Linked DNA regions of Saccharomyces cerevisiae S288C. The gene in region 1 interacts genetically with each later gene. Each region holds a gene or a part of one and is shown in the gene's direction. Other genes may lie near its edges.

What was found. A genetic interaction does not mean that the proteins touch.
Region 2: mutations in UPS1 (region 1) and CRD1 together harm fitness more than expected from each alone (negative genetic interaction), as found in Saccharomyces cerevisiae (4 studies listed by BioGRID, with this or other methods).
Region 3: mutations in UPS1 (region 1) and CQD1 together harm fitness more than expected from each alone (negative genetic interaction), as found in Saccharomyces cerevisiae (4 studies listed by BioGRID, with this or other methods).

The regions. Positions count from the first base shown.
Region 1 is NC_001144.5:538,524-544,468, reverse strand, and holds UPS1 (Ups1p), read left to right. Parts: upstream 1-3,932; coding exon 3,933-4,460; downstream 4,461-5,945. Other genes in the region: rRNA-processing protein PWP1, read right to left, coding at 1-501; glycylpeptide N-tetradecanoyltransferase NMT1, read left to right, coding at 1,165-2,532; NCW2 (Ncw2p), read left to right, coding at 2,896-3,660; HCR1 (translation initiation factor eIF3 core subunit j), read left to right, coding at 4,880-5,677. UniProt on the Saccharomyces cerevisiae protein: Required for maintenance of normal mitochondrial morphology. Required for PCP1-dependent processing of MGM1.
Region 2 is NC_001136.10:200,071-204,411, reverse strand, and holds CRD1 (cardiolipin synthase), read left to right. Parts: upstream 1-1,841; coding exon 1,842-2,693; downstream 2,694-4,341. Other genes in the region: biotin--[acetyl-CoA-carboxylase] ligase BPL1, read right to left, coding at 1-1,373; chaperonin-containing T-complex subunit CCT4, read right to left, coding at 2,830-4,341. UniProt on the Saccharomyces cerevisiae protein: Catalyzes the synthesis of cardiolipin (CL) (diphosphatidylglycerol) by specifically transferring a phosphatidyl group from CDP-diacylglycerol to phosphatidylglycerol (PG).
Region 3 is NC_001148.4:343,616-349,245, reverse strand, and holds CQD1 (Cqd1p), read left to right. Parts: upstream 1-1,856; coding exon 1,857-3,649; intron 3,650-3,801; coding exon 3,802-3,982; downstream 3,983-5,630. Other genes in the region: DPC25 (Dpc25p), read right to left, coding at 1-127; YPL108W (uncharacterized protein), read right to left, coding at 294-800; GDE1 (glycerophosphocholine phosphodiesterase), read left to right, coding at 4,507-5,630.

The DNA.
Region 1 (5,945 bases):
ACCGTCATCGTAAACGTAGATATCCAAATACGAAACGTCATCTTCTGTTCTCGCAGCAAGAACTAAATTATCGGATGGGTAAACTTGTAACTCCTGCTTCTCCTCTTGACTATCCTCTTGATTAGGCAATGAAATATATGGATCTTCACCTTTTTCACCCTCATGGAATTTAACATCGCTATCATTACTTAAACCCGGGAACATGGAAACGTCTTTACCACCCTCATTATCTGCAATTTCCTCATCGTCATATTCTTCCAGGTTATATTCTTTCAAATCATCATCTATATCCAACTGATCCTTCAACTTATTAGAACTACCTGTTGCGGCGTCATCTTCAACACCTGATTCGCCTTCTGCTTCTTCCAAAGTAGCTTTAGCATCATCCAAATTCAACTGTGCTAATTGGTTAATTCTTTCCACTTCCTCATCATCCAGAACATACTTTTCAGGAAATTCCGAGGAAAACCCTCTTGGAACCCAATTAGTAGCAGAAATCATTAGTTATTTTGTTTTTTTTATTCGTCTTCTAAGTTTCCAAATAAGGAAGGCGTAATAGACTCAACTGAGGGTACACTTGCTATCGTTTACAAATTAAAACTCTTTGCTTCTTTCAAACTCATCTCAGCTCATCGAGACAAATTTTTCACTTCTTTTTTTCGAGGGCGAGAAAATTTATTACCCGACTGGATATAATATATATAGAATAATACATATGATCAACTCAAGGTAGGGCCTATGGAAAAGTTTTACAACGGACAAGGCAATTAAATTGAATTGCACGATTCTCTAATTTTTTATTCTTGCAGATTTGTTTCATGATAAATTCGCCAGTTAGAGTTCTTATTATGGGTGGGTAAGAATTCAGTTAACGTTTAAAATTCTCAATATTAATCGCAAAGTGGAAAGCAAAGCAAAGTCTCACTAGAAATTGCAGGCGGACTATGTATAATTACGTAATAGTAGTTCTTGCAACAGAGGATCCTTTCGACTCTTTTGAAAGGATACTGTCATAAAACAATAGGATAAAATAATTTCAGCCGTTGCTCATGATAAAAGTAATTCACTATAATTGAAGATGATATGTGTTGCACGCTTTTTAGAGAATGATCTGTACAATAGCTCTGGTTGTCATAGAGCTTCGGTAGTAAACGTATTTATAGAATGTCAGAAGAGGATAAAGCGAAAAAATTAGAGAATTTATTGAAGTTATTACAGTTGAATAATGACGATACTTCAAAATTCACTCAAGAACAGAAAAAAGCTATGAAAGACCACAAATTCTGGAGAACGCAACCGGTCAAAGATTTCGATGAAAAGGTGGTGGAAGAAGGCCCCATTGATAAGCCAAAGACACCGGAAGATATATCTGACAAGCCACTACCTTTATTGTCTAGCTTCGAATGGTGTAGTATTGATGTGGACAACAAAAAACAGCTTGAAGATGTTTTCGTTCTACTAAATGAAAACTACGTGGAAGACCGCGATGCAGGCTTCAGATTTAACTATACCAAAGAATTCTTCAATTGGGCTTTAAAGAGTCCAGGTTGGAAGAAGGATTGGCATATTGGTGTTCGCGTTAAAGAAACACAGAAATTAGTTGCCTTTATCTCAGCCATACCAGTAACACTTGGTGTTAGAGGTAAACAAGTGCCTAGTGTAGAAATCAATTTCTTGTGCGTTCACAAACAGCTAAGATCGAAGAGATTAACACCTGTTCTAATTAAAGAAATTACGAGACGAGTGAACAAATGTGACATCTGGCATGCATTGTACACGGCAGGTATTGTTTTGCCAGCACCTGTGAGTACGTGTCGTTATACTCATCGTCCCTTGAATTGGAAGAAACTTTATGAAGTAGATTTCACAGGGTTACCAGATGGGCACACAGAGGAGGATATGATTGCTGAGAATGCGTTACCGGCCAAAACAAAGACAGCGGGATTGAGAAAATTAAAGAAGGAAGATATTGACCAAGTTTTTGAGTTGTTCAAAAGATATCAATCCAGGTTCGAACTAATTCAAATTTTCACAAAAGAAGAATTCGAACATAATTTCATTGGTGAAGAATCGTTACCATTGGATAAACAAGTAATTTTCTCATATGTAGTCGAACAGCCCGATGGAAAAATTACAGACTTCTTCTCATTTTACTCATTGCCATTCACAATCCTAAATAACACAAAATATAAGGACCTAGGCATCGGGTACTTGTATTATTATGCCACCGATGCAGATTTCCAATTCAAAGACAGGTTTGATCCAAAAGCTACTAAGGCTTTGAAAACAAGATTGTGTGAATTGATTTATGACGCTTGTATTTTGGCCAAAAACGCTAATATGGATGTTTTTAACGCGTTGACTTCGCAAGATAATACATTGTTCTTGGATGATTTGAAGTTCGGGCCCGGTGACGGGTTCTTGAACTTCTATTTATTTAATTATAGAGCAAAGCCGATTACCGGTGGCTTGAATCCCGACAATAGTAACGACATTAAAAGGCGTAGCAATGTCGGTGTTGTTATGTTGTAGTGGCTGAAAGGACGAGGCGTATATAGTTTTCGTGTACATAGCCGACAGAATTTGACCACATTTAGTTTTTCCGCATAGTCAATTGACGAAGTGAAAAAATAATTAATCCAATGGCTGGCTTTAGAGTGTCAGCCTCCAAAATAAATCCAAAAATAGACAAAGAGAATCACTATAATTACCGCCTTGGAGTCCAAGTTGGCTTGAGAACTCGCATTTATTTTTAGCGACTGAGGTAGCTGAAAAACGCCTACTTTCTCAGAAGGCGGTAGTGAGCATATATAAGTATGTAAGAAAGATCAACTCTTCTGGACTAGATACTCACCGATCTAGTGAAAATATAAACAAACCCAACATATATATAAAATGAAGGCCTGTTCCATATTATTTACCACCTTAATTACTCTAGCCGCTGCTCAAAAAGACTCTGGTTCCTTAGATGGCCAGAACTCTGAAGATAGCTCACAAAAGGAAAGCTCAAACTCTCAAGAGATCACACCTACCACGACAAAGGAAGCCCAAGAAAGCGCATCAACTGTAGTTTCTACCGGAAAAAGCTTAGTACAAACTAGCAACGTCGTCAGCAACACCTATGCTGTGGCTCCAAGTACCACCGTAGTGACGACGGATGCACAAGGCAAAACCACGACACAGTACCTATGGTGGGTGGCCGAAAGCAACTCTGCCGTAAGCACAACTTCAACTGCCTCTGTGCAGCCCACCGGAGAGACGTCAAGCGGAATCACCAACTCCGCATCCTCCTCAACGACATCAACATCAACGGACGGGCCAGTTACTATAGTAACTACCACGAATTCGTTAGGTGAGACTTACACATCTACTGTTTGGTGGCTACCGTCCTCAGCCACAACTGACAACACGGCTTCATCAAGTAAATCATCTTCGGGATCCTCATCAAAACCGGAATCAAGCACCAAGGTAGTAAGCACTATCAAATCAACTTATACCACTACGTCAGGTTCTACAGTAGAGACACTGACCACTACATACAAGTCTACAGTCAACGGTAAGGTAGCGTCCGTAATGTCCAATTCTACCAATGGCGCCTTTGCCGGCACTCACATAGCTTATGGTGCGGGTGCATTCGCCGTTGGTGCCCTTTTGTTATAGAATGTATAATCAGTTCTGTATACCACCACATAGTTCTGCATTTTAATAAAACTCTTTCTTTTTATACACTGTAGGTAACCAATAATATAACTATTGTTATCATCGTGCTTGCGTATTTTTTTTCTTTCGGGTGAAAAACTCCGCAGTATTTCTCGCTCTCCCTGGATAATAAGCTAGAAAAAAAAAATATATATGACAGATGGATGAGTAATCATATTCAATAAGTATTGTCTGGCTTCTGAGACGGCGGTAAGATATCCTTAAGAGTTGCAATGGTCCTTTTACACAAAAGCACACATATATTTCCTACCGATTTTGCCTCTGTTTCACGCGCCTTTTTTAATAGATACCCCAATCCATACTCCCCCCATGTACTATCCATAGACACAATATCAAGGAACGTTGATCAAGAAGGAAATTTGCGCACAACGAGGCTGTTGAAAAAGTCCGGAAAGCTGCCCACATGGGTCAAACCCTTTTTAAGAGGTATAACAGAAACATGGATAATCGAAGTTTCCGTAGTGAACCCCGCTAACTCCACAATGAAAACTTACACTAGGAATCTGGATCACACTGGAATCATGAAGGTTGAAGAATATACTACCTATCAATTTGACAGTGCTACAAGTAGTACGATAGCAGACAGCCGGGTGAAGTTTTCAAGTGGCTTCAATATGGGTATCAAATCTAAGGTAGAGGATTGGTCGCGCACTAAATTTGACGAAAACGTTAAGAAAAGCAGAATGGGCATGGCATTTGTTATCCAAAAACTCGAAGAGGCGAGAAATCCTCAGTTTTGATGTTCCCATTTAAAGATCTTTAAAGATATCACCATGGGCGAGCGAAATTGAGAAAACTAGTGCAGCTCGCATTTGGTCACGTCCTAAAAATTGTAAATAAGCGCTGGTTCAACAAAATTTAATATACACACATATATAATTATTTATTTATAACAGTCATTCTGCTAAACTATACATCAAATGTCACTAATCTTGATATTATGGTCGTCCCTGTATCATATTAGACGAACACACCTGTTTTTGGGCATTTTCCGAATTTTTTTTTCATGCTAGCTAAGTCAGAAGTACTACATTAAAGAATTGAGAACTGACTGCTCCCACCATTCTTGAACTCTCGCTTTAAATTATCTTACTATCTTTTGAGTTCCTTGTAACTATTCTATCCTAACCACCACCTCAAAAAAAAAAAAGTAATAAAAATGTCTTGGGACGACGAAGCTATCAATGGTTCTATGGGTAATGATGACGCCGTTTTGATGGACTCATGGGATGCTGAAATTGGTGATGACGAACCTGTCATGCAATCATGGGATGCAGAAGAGGAAGAAAAGAAGCCTGCCCCAAAGCCAAAAAAAGAACAACCAAAAAAGGTTAAAAAAGGGAAAGAATCCTCCGCTGACAGAGCCCTATTGGATATTGACACATTGGATGAAAAGACACGTAAAGAATTAATCAAAAAGGCTGAAATGGAGTCTGACTTAAACAATGCTGCAGATTTGTTTGCGGGTTTAGGTGTTGCCGAAGAACATCCAAGGGCTCGTGCTTTACAAAAGGAACAAGAGGAACAAGCTCTAAAAAGACCCGCCTTTACCAAGGACACACCTATCGAAACACATCCTTTGTTTAACGCCGAAACAAAGAGAGAGTACCAGGATTTAAGAAAGGCTCTTACTGCTGCTATTACACCAATGAACAAAAAATCTCCGCTGAACTACTCCTCATCGTTAGCGATTGATTTGATTAGAGATGTAGCAAAACCAATGTCCATCGAATCTATAAGACAAACAGTTGCTACTTTGAACGTTTTGATCAAAGATAAGGAAAGAGAGGAGAGGCAAGCTCGTCTGGCCCGTGTTAGAGGTGGTACTGCTACTGGGGGTGCTGGTAAGAAGAAAGTCAAAGGTAAGACCAATTTGGGTGGCGCATTTAAGAAAGATCAAGATTTCGACCTAGATGGCCCCGACGATTTTGAATTCGGTGATGACGACTTTATGTAATCTGCTTATTGTTTCTTTGCTATGATAAACTTGTCCATCTCATTTTGTTGGTGAAAAAAAGCGAAGCCCAGCACCGCAGGCCTTGGATATTGCCATATCACAATTGTCCTGAAATTGTGAATGTCTATATTCCCATATATATATCCATAGGCGTTTCATTCATATAAAAATAAATACGCATATGTGTACGTAGGAGATTGTGTTTTCAAGATGGAGAATATAATGTGTTTTTGCACCGTTATCTGGCTTTTTGTTAAGAAGTACTTCG
Region 2 (4,341 bases), on another chromosome or scaffold:
ACTGATATATTTCGATTAGTCACAGGCGATTGAAGCGGCATTGTTACGACGGCCGTTGATGCGCAAACACCTTTAGGATTAATCCAAGTGTTACCACCTCTCCCACGCCCAGAAACCTGAATAGTACCCACGTGAAGTAAAGTGCTTTCAGGGATCGAACTTAATAAGGATTTATTATTATTCAATATGGTACTCGTTGATGTAACAACTTCACCATATAGAAGTAAAGAACCTATGGTGTTTTGAACATTCAGATACTTGAAGTATTCTTTCATGTCAAAATTGGGCGTATATTGAAATGGTGGAATATCTTCATCTACGCCAGGAAATATTACGGTCTTAGGAACCTCATCTGGCTCTTTATGAAGCAAGGACGAACTTGCTGCATCGTAAGAGGCTCTATAGCCTCTATAAAATTGGAAAGAGTCAGTTTCGGCGTTTAATTCTGAGCAGAGTTCAACATTATTTGCATGCATTCCATGATGAGCTAAGTTGTTTTCCATTTCTTGCAAGTAATTCCGCTTATTAGGTGCACTAGCCATAAACAGTGGTGTCAAATTTGGAGCTCTTACATAATTGAAGTCATTATTACAATTCAACCCAGTTTTGGTAAGAACCGTTCTCATAAATTTCAACCTCATGATTTCCTGTGCTTTCAGGTTTTCCACAACGGTTTCAAGAAAATGCTTATCTGTGGATTTCCTCATAAAACGGACGTTGAATTCAGGGTGTGGTCCAGTGAGTAAAACCTTTCCTCTTCCGACCGTACATAGCACTACAGCAGCTGGGTTTTCACTTTGACCTTTTCCTGAGTCAGAAGAAGGCACATCCGGGTGTTCTGCGTACGTGGCCAAGATCTCGACATTATCAAATTTATCTGCATCAACAAAAACGGCTCCTCCATTGAAATAAGTTGAGAACTGTGAGCCATCTGGAAGATTCAATTTAACTGCACGTGCACCGGCCTCGCTGTTATACTGAAATCCATTGTACGCAGGTCCTCTGCTTGTTCCCGGAAAGAATCGCAAATCCCTGCTTCCTGATACTTCCATTGTAGGGTCACCTTGAGCAAATTCTACACGGCTGGTGCCAAAGTAACCTCCTGCACAAAATCCGATAAAGACACCACCTTGTTTGCTAACAAAATGTTTCAATCGAGAAATAATGGGTTGACAAGCTTGAACGTAAGGAAGATCGGCACCACCAGGAAAAACTACAGCGGAGGTCTTTGACATCCATGGTTCTGTCTGTAATACCTTAACATTGACAGTACTGACGGCGTAATAGGGTTCCAAAAAGTCACGTAAACTTTCAACAGCATGCTTAACTGATCCTGGCGTAGTCCCTGGGCCATTATAGACTAATACATTCATATTAGTTGAAATTGGATAATATTGATAAGATCGTTCTAATATCTTCTTTATTGGAACTCTGAACCTGTAACAACCAGTAAAAACCTTGCACTTTTGTATACCAAACAACTTTTGAGAACAATATATTACAGCAAAAGAAAAACTGACGAAGGGAGAAGGAAAGTAAAATATACTTATATGTGCGTTTACCCAACGTTTGGCAAACAATTACAGGAAGAAAAAGCCAAGTCCGTAGCTCTGGGATCTCTTACATGAAACCATATTAAATGTCAACCAACACTTCACAGTCATGTCTTCGAATCATTGTGCGGCGACTATTTCCGAAACTGGAGTGTGAAAAAGCTCGATTCATGAAGCCATCCTCTTAATCGGGAGTATACAATATTTACAATTGAAAAAATATAGAAAGGAGGCAATTGAGAAACAAGCAGGCCTGGTAGCATAGTTTGGTCCCTAATAATTTAGTCAATGATTCAAATGGTGCCCATTTATTCATGCTCCGCATTACTTCGGAGAACTATACCGAAAAGGCCATTCTATCATGTGTTATCAGGGTTAACTGTACGCTTTAAGGTAAACCCGCAATTAAATTACAATCTTTTCAGAGATCTCACTAGGAGGGAATATGCTACCAATCCGAGTAAAACTCCTCATATAAAGAGCAAGTTGCTCAATATTCCCAACATTTTGACTTTATCACGAATAGGATGTACACCCTTTATCGGACTCTTCATTATAACGAATAATTTGACCCCAGCATTAGGTTTGTTTGCATTTTCCAGCATCACTGATTTTATGGATGGGTATATAGCAAGAAAATACGGCCTGAAAACCATTGCAGGAACCATATTAGATCCACTTGCAGATAAACTACTCATGATCACAACAACTTTGGCATTATCTGTACCATCCGGCCCTCAGATTATACCGGTATCTATTGCGGCGATAATTCTGGGTAGAGATGTGCTACTAGCCATAAGTGCTTTGTTTATACGATATAGCACTTTAAAGTTGAAATATCCTGGTCGTGTGGCATGGAATTCCTATTGGGATATTGTTCGCTATCCCAGCGCTGAGGTCAGACCTTCCCAACTATCAAAATGGAACACGTTTTTCCAAATGGTATATCTTGGATCTGGAGTATTATTACTTTTATATGAGAAAGAAGAGGGCTGTGAAAAAACCGAGGAGGATTTCGAAGATAGAAAACAGGACTTTCAAAAGGCCTTTAGCTATTTAGGGTATGTAACCGCCACGACCACAATAATGAGCGGAGTATCCTACGCATTAAAGAGAAACGCTTTTAAACTTTTAAAATAGTATAATTGCGATCCTTTTTGAAAAGGGTCCTGACTTTTCATTTTGAATGTTTTTTAGTTTTTATGTAGTGGAAAATACACTAAATCAACATATATATGTATATATGCATAAACATATGGATACTGGGAAACCCATGTTAACGGCTGAATGCAATATCATCAATACGTAAGATGGATTTAACACATTCAGACGCTAAGGTAATTGCACTTGTACTAACAAGTACGGGTTGTAAGATGTGTTCTTCATAGGTGTTCGTAGTACCAGATCGTCTAACAGAGATACCGTCATTCAATTCACCATTTTCATGCTTAGAGCGCAATTCTGTGACAACTTTGATACTATTCAAACCTGCGTTTTCAGCCAAAGTCGTTGGAATAACTTCCAAAGCAGAGGCAAATTCTTGCCAAATAAAAGCCTGTACACCTTCCATAGACCTTGCTTCCTTACTCAACCTACGGGATATTTCAATTTCTGGAGCACCACCACCAGCGATTAAACCTCTCTCTTTCACTAGACAACGAATAACACATAGTGCATCATGGAGGGAACGCTCTGTTTCATCAATGATCATGTTGTTTGCACCACGAATAACAACAGAGACGGTTGGTCTTGCATTATTGTTTCTTATACCAGTTACTCTAACTATCTTGGAACCATCGCTATCGATCTCCTCAACTAAATCAGCGGAACCCAATCTATCTTCGGTGAACAATTCTATATCAGCAATTGGCTTACAACCCAAGCCCTTCGACAGAAACTCGATTTCTTCTCTCTCGATATCCTTTACCACCATTATGTTCAATTTTGACAAGAAATGAAGAGCCAAATCATTTACCGCATCTCTCAAGATGGATTTCTGAATCAACAGCACGTTACACTTGGCCTTTTTAATTTTTTTACAGATATTTAGCAAATACGCTCTTTCTTCTTTAAGGATCTTATCCATTTGTCTATAGTCATTAACGATGATATTATTTTCTGTGTCGGGCTTTGGAGGAGATATTTGGAATTGAATTAACCCAATCTTTGCTTTTTCCTTTCTTGTCGGACCACCAGCAGATTTGATTGCCGTTTGTGTCAAGACCACACCATCTATCATTTCTGTGTCATCAATGGTACCACCAACTTTTTTGACCAGTCTGATATCGTTCAGGTCAACATTCTTAGAGTTTTCATCAGATATCTTCAATACGGAGTCCACTGCCAAGGGCGCCAAAAACGAAGAGTATTGAGACACAATCTTGGAACTCAAAGAAGTGGATGCAGCACGAACCAGCTGTTCTCTATCGCTCAACGAAACCTTATGGCACATTTCTAAAAGAATATCGACAGATCTCTTCGCAGCACTTTGAAAGGAGTCCGCAATGATGGTTGGATGGATGCCCTTGTTTAACAGCCTCTCAGCAGCACCCAATAGAGCTCCGGTCAAGATCACCACAGAAGTGGTACCATCACCGGCTTCCGAGTCCTGCGCGGCAGAAACCTCTACTAGCATTCTGGCCACCGGATGCAGAATGGCCATCTGTTTTAGAATGGTGTGGCCATCATTAGAGATGATGATTTCTCCACGAGATGTCTTAATCATCTTGTCCATACCCTTGGGACCCAATGAAGTACGGATGGCATCTGCAACAGAACGTGCAGCGAT
Region 3 (5,630 bases), on another chromosome or scaffold:
TTTCTTCGACAGAAGTAGAGATATCTTGAGTGTTTCCTTCAAAAGTCATATCTACTCTGGAGTATCTTGTGAACCTCCGCACCGGATAAATTCTGTAAAGTAATGACCATCCCTGATTTCTTATCATTTTCTACTTTTGATCACGTCTCTATCTAATGACGGTTTCATGCACCCTCTGACTGTTGTAATTTACGTATTATTATTCTGTTTAATTTATGCTATTTATGTAAATGAGTTCGGCCATGTCGGAGGAGAAAGATATCTTTTTTCAAATTTGAGTATCTGATTCGGGCTTATAATACATGCCCACGACATCGCTCGATCATATATTCCAACTCTTCAAGCTCCCTCTTCATTTTATTCTTCACGTTGAACGGTTCAAAGAGCCCCAGAAAATAGGTGCTGAGATCCAGACACTCCTTGTACTTACATTGGTAAAATAAACGATGGCAGAAACCACTAAGCACCTGTCGCTGATGCTTATTGGAGATATCGTACTTGCCTTCCCGGATCTCAACCAAGGGATCTACCTCATCCATCCATCCTACCTTTGTCCGCACAGGGCCTTGTTCTACTTCGAAGTAGTGCTGCAATTGCTGTGTATACTCTTCTTCCGTTTGACCTTTACGTATTTTAGTTTTCCCGGTGGATTTTCTAACAATTACTTCACCTGTTCTACCATCTAACGAGATTGGCTTAGTCACTGATTGATCCTTCTCTCCGTGGGCTTTCCTAAAACCTGTACTATAGTTTTTTTCCACCATTTTTGGTGCTTCTTCTCTATCAGATGCTTCTTTCATAAAAATTATTATCTTTCTTAGCTGTTATTCATCTTACATTTTTTTTTCAATTACGGCGAGGCGATGACTTCAATCGTTGCTGTCAAGATTGAATTGACAATTACAGTCGATGTTGAATATTAACTTATATATGACAGATCATTACAGCTAGTCTAGTTCGACAAGATTAGTAAGATTAGGAGTTATTTTTAACTGCTTATTATGCAAGTTGTGTAGGCCACAGGCGCAACTGAAAAACATAATTTCAGATTAGGCAGTTACTGGAAAGATCGCGTTCTTGTATTGTCTAAATAGAAGCAGTTGTTTTAATAATGCTTACAATTGAACTATGAACCAAAGCAATAATTTATGAGAAACTAAAATGGGATGCATCAGATCTTTGCACTCAATTGAGTTTAAAACTGTACAGGTACTAATATTATATTAACGCTGCTTCTATAACACTTGTTTTGACATGACGATAAGTGTAGTGTATTCAAATGCCGTATGTCACTTGAACACACAGGGAACTGCACTCTGCACTTCGGAACAAGATTGAAAGTTACTGTGTTATTAACCTTTGCCAACAAGCGAAAACAACCAGGTGTTTCTGCGGTTTACAAAATCTTTAAGGGATTGAGGTTAGTTGGCTCAAAGAGAAGAAGTTCCCAGTCGATGTATCAAGCAGAGCTAAGAGAAAAAGTGCCGCGAAAGGGTTTGATTGGTCAAGTTGGCTTGTTCATCAGGAACTAAATTAATCAAGGTGTGATTCTATCTGTCAACCCCCCCCCTTGATACTTCCTGTACTTAGAATCAATTTATTAAATACAAATTTAGAATCTGTGATTCGTAAATCTTAAGTGTTTAAATACTAAGTGTGTATTAAAGGCTTTACTTCAAGCAACGAAAAATAAATAACCCCGAATATATGAGGGGCAATAATACCTTTTCACTCATTTGATGAAAAAGAAAAGATGTTTGATGTTATAGAAAATACCTTATACCATATCTTCTACCTACTCATCAATATCAAACCCTCACAGAATAGAGATAAAGAACATCAGAACCATCTGGGCAATGTCATTTTTAAAGTTCGCTTATAGAAACTCTTGGCGATACTATAGCAAGTCCACACGGCATTTTCATAAAATACCTATAAGACAGTTCATAATACCTACGTCAATTGCTTTTTATTTGACACAAAATTCGTTTCCAAAACAAAATTGTTTGATATACAATGATTCTCTAAAACCGGATCCCAAAGGTGATACTTTTGAAATGGGCCTCTACGTTTCCTCAGAAAACGAATTGCAGGAAAAGCTTAAATCTTTCAGGTCTGCTAAGATCACTGAATCACGAAATAAATTAATAAGATATCTAAGAATCTTTTGGTTCGGTTTTAATGATAATATTGTTGAGCCTGTATGCACGATTTTAAGGTTTTTAGAAATTTCAGCTATTTTTTTACCTCTTCTCCTATTATACCCCATATCATGGTTTGGTCATAAACTCAAAATTACGGACACCAATATAACTGAAACTCGAGGTTCATTGATTTGGTGTCAACTACTGCGTAAAGCATTGGAATTGGCTGGCCCGAGTTTCATTAAACTCGGACAATGGGCAGGATCGAGAACCGATATATTCTCTCACGCACTGTGTCATGAGTTGGGTAAATTGCATAGTAACGTTACAGCTCACTCTCTAAGCTTTACTCTGGAAAAACTTTCTCAAGCATTAAAGGTTGACAAGATCGAAGATGCTTTTGATGAATTTAATCGAACACCAATTGGAGTTGGGTCCATCGCACAAGTTTACGTGGGTGAACTATCCCAAAAGTACATCGATAAATATGACAATATACAAATTGGTAAGGATGGAAATCGTTGGTGTGCCATCAAGATCTTGCATCCAAATGTAAGATCTCAGATCCGGAGAGATTTGAAAATAATGAAATTCTGTGCTGACGCAATAAATTGGATTCCGACTATGGAATGGCTGTCTTTACCCAGCGAAGTCGATCAGTTTTCCATATTAATGAATATTCAGTTGGATCTAAGAATTGAGGCGTTAAACCTGGAAAGATTCAATGAGAACTTTAAAAATTCTATTCAGGTGAAATTTCCTAAACCATTTCTCCCCTTGTCAAATAGGGATGTTATGTTCGAAGAGCATGTATATGGTCTTTCCATGGAAAAGTTTTTATCTACGAAGAAGCAAATTAACGACGTTGAACTTTGTAAAAAAGTCAGTGATCCCTTCGTTGACGCGTTTCTACAAATGCTAATTCTTGATGATTTTGTTCATGCTGATTTGCATCCAGGCAATGTTATAATCAGATTTGTGAAGACGAACAAATACGGCACAAACATTATATCCTCCGAACTTGAATCGTACAGAATAACGCACGACCTGAGGAAGAAGATAGAGGAGGACCAAGATCAGGACTTTGTTGGAAAACTGAAGTCTGTATTAACTAATTACACTCCCCAAATTTGTTTTATCGATACAGGAATAATTACAGAATTGAATGAAAAAAACAGAATTAATTTCATAGCTCTATTCAACGCATTGGCCCGATTTGATGGTTATAGAGCTGGTGAGTTGATGATTGAGAGATCAAGAACTCCAGAAACAGCTATTGATAAGGAAGTATTTGCGTTTAAGGTAGAAAAGCTAGTGGATAAAGTTAAACAAAGAACATTTACATTGGGAACCGTCTCAATTGGCGATTTACTCGATCAAATGCTTAGTATGGTAAGGTCGCACCATGTTAGAATGGAGTCCGACTTTGTTTCCGTGGTGGTCGCTATTTTACTTCTAGAGGGTATTGGACGCCAGTTAGATCCAAACTTGGACTTATTTGAAAGGTTCGTATTTTACGCATGGATTAACGGTTTTAAAGAATAACATCAATTTTTTAAAACCCTTTTCTATTGCTTTTTTTTGCTTTTTATTGCTACTAAAGAAATTCTTTTACTAACAAAAATACCCACATCTTGTAACTTCTCTTCGTAAACAGTTCGCTGCCTATATTACGTGAATTCGGGTTTAAGCGGGAAGCCAAAAGTCTCTTGAAAGATGCAAGCACATTATCAATGCTCAAGATATGGGTTGGTTTAGAAGTGCGTCAATTAATGCATCTCTCGATGAAGCAAATATACGATCTTGTCAGGACTGATCAATTGTGTCCTAATTATTAATATTCTTTCTTTTTATGCATCTTTTATAATTGCGACTTCCACGTGTTCGCAGGTGGAGCAATGTTACACACGCTGTCCCAACATATTAGCTCTCCAAAAAAACGACCAAGTTTATTTAAGTGACAAATAATAATTTGCTGTTGCTCTAGCTGAAATTTAGACCAGTGCTGTCATTATCGACTCGTAGTGTTCTTTTAATAGTAAATTTCGTCAAAACGTTTCTAATTCACTTAATAGCGCCAACTGAATAAGAGAATTATTTTTAGAACGTGCACATTATATTAAAAAGAGAGCGTTGGCTGACAGAAGTAAAAAATAAATTATTGTCTTACAAAGTGAGACTATTAAAGAGTTTAAGTTTTGCAATTAGTGCTTCATTGAACAATAAGGCAACGGTAGCAAAAAATTTAAACCCAACTAAGAAGGGAACCCTCATCAAATTACACAAAAATAGCCACTATCTCCAACTAAGGTGACAAACTACTGAAACTGTAAGGTCTTTATATAATCAAACAATATAATCAATGAAGTTCGGAAAAACCTTTGCCAATCATCGCATTCCAGAGTGGTCAAGTCAATATGTTGGCTACAAGTCGTTGAAGAAAATGATTAAAGAAATTACAAGACTTCAAGAAGACATATATAGGGCACATAACAAGAATAGCTATGATGAAGGCAGGCCACCAACAAAAATGAGAGATTCATCTAATAGTGCTCAAAATTATTTGGACTCTCCAAAAATCCAAAAGTTATTGGCGTCGTTTTTCTTTGCAGTTGACAGGGATATTGAGAAGGTTGATACATTTTACAATTCCCAGTATGCGGAATATAAGAAAAGATTTGAGAGATTGCTTTCTTCTAATCAATTCAATGAGATAAAATCAACATTAGTGGTCGATGCCAACAAAGAAGATGCAGTAGCGCAAACCTTACTCACAAAGGATACGAGAGAGATGAATATGCTTTTAAAGGGAACAAGTCAAGCCAGCCGTCTATCTTACCATAAAGATGACTTAATTGAAATTCAGTCTATCTTAGCTGAGTTAAGAAAACAATTTAGAAACTTAAAGTGGTACGCTGAACTAAATAAGAGAGCTTTTGGTAAGATTTTAAAGAAACTGGATAAAAAAGTCGGCACAAATCAGCAAATGTCAACTATGAAAACTAGAATCTTGCCGTTACAATTTGCTAATGATTCTCTTATTACCAAAGATTTGAGTTTGCTAAAAACTATCTGGGAACAAGTGACGTTCAGGATAAATTCTTACGAGAGAGTAATGAGGAGTACCTCGCCGAACGCAAATGCTAATGATAATACAGAATTCTTTAAGATTATTTGCGTTTTTATAGAAGAAGATGATAGCAAAGGATTGATTAGAGAGCTAACAAACCTATATTCGGAATTGTCTTTGATTCCAACAAGAATTATGATAAGTGTTTTAAACAAGGCAGCACTGTCTAAATCACTGGCATGTATTGATGCTATCTTAAAGGTTATTCCGTCTCTAAATGACTCGGAAGATATTAACAGAAGAAATTTTTTCCATCATCACATAATTGCAATCGGGAAGTTAATCAGAAAACAGGAAATTTTAAGTAGGAAAAAGAAGTCACAACCCTCAAAATATACTAATAGTGAGGGAGAAAT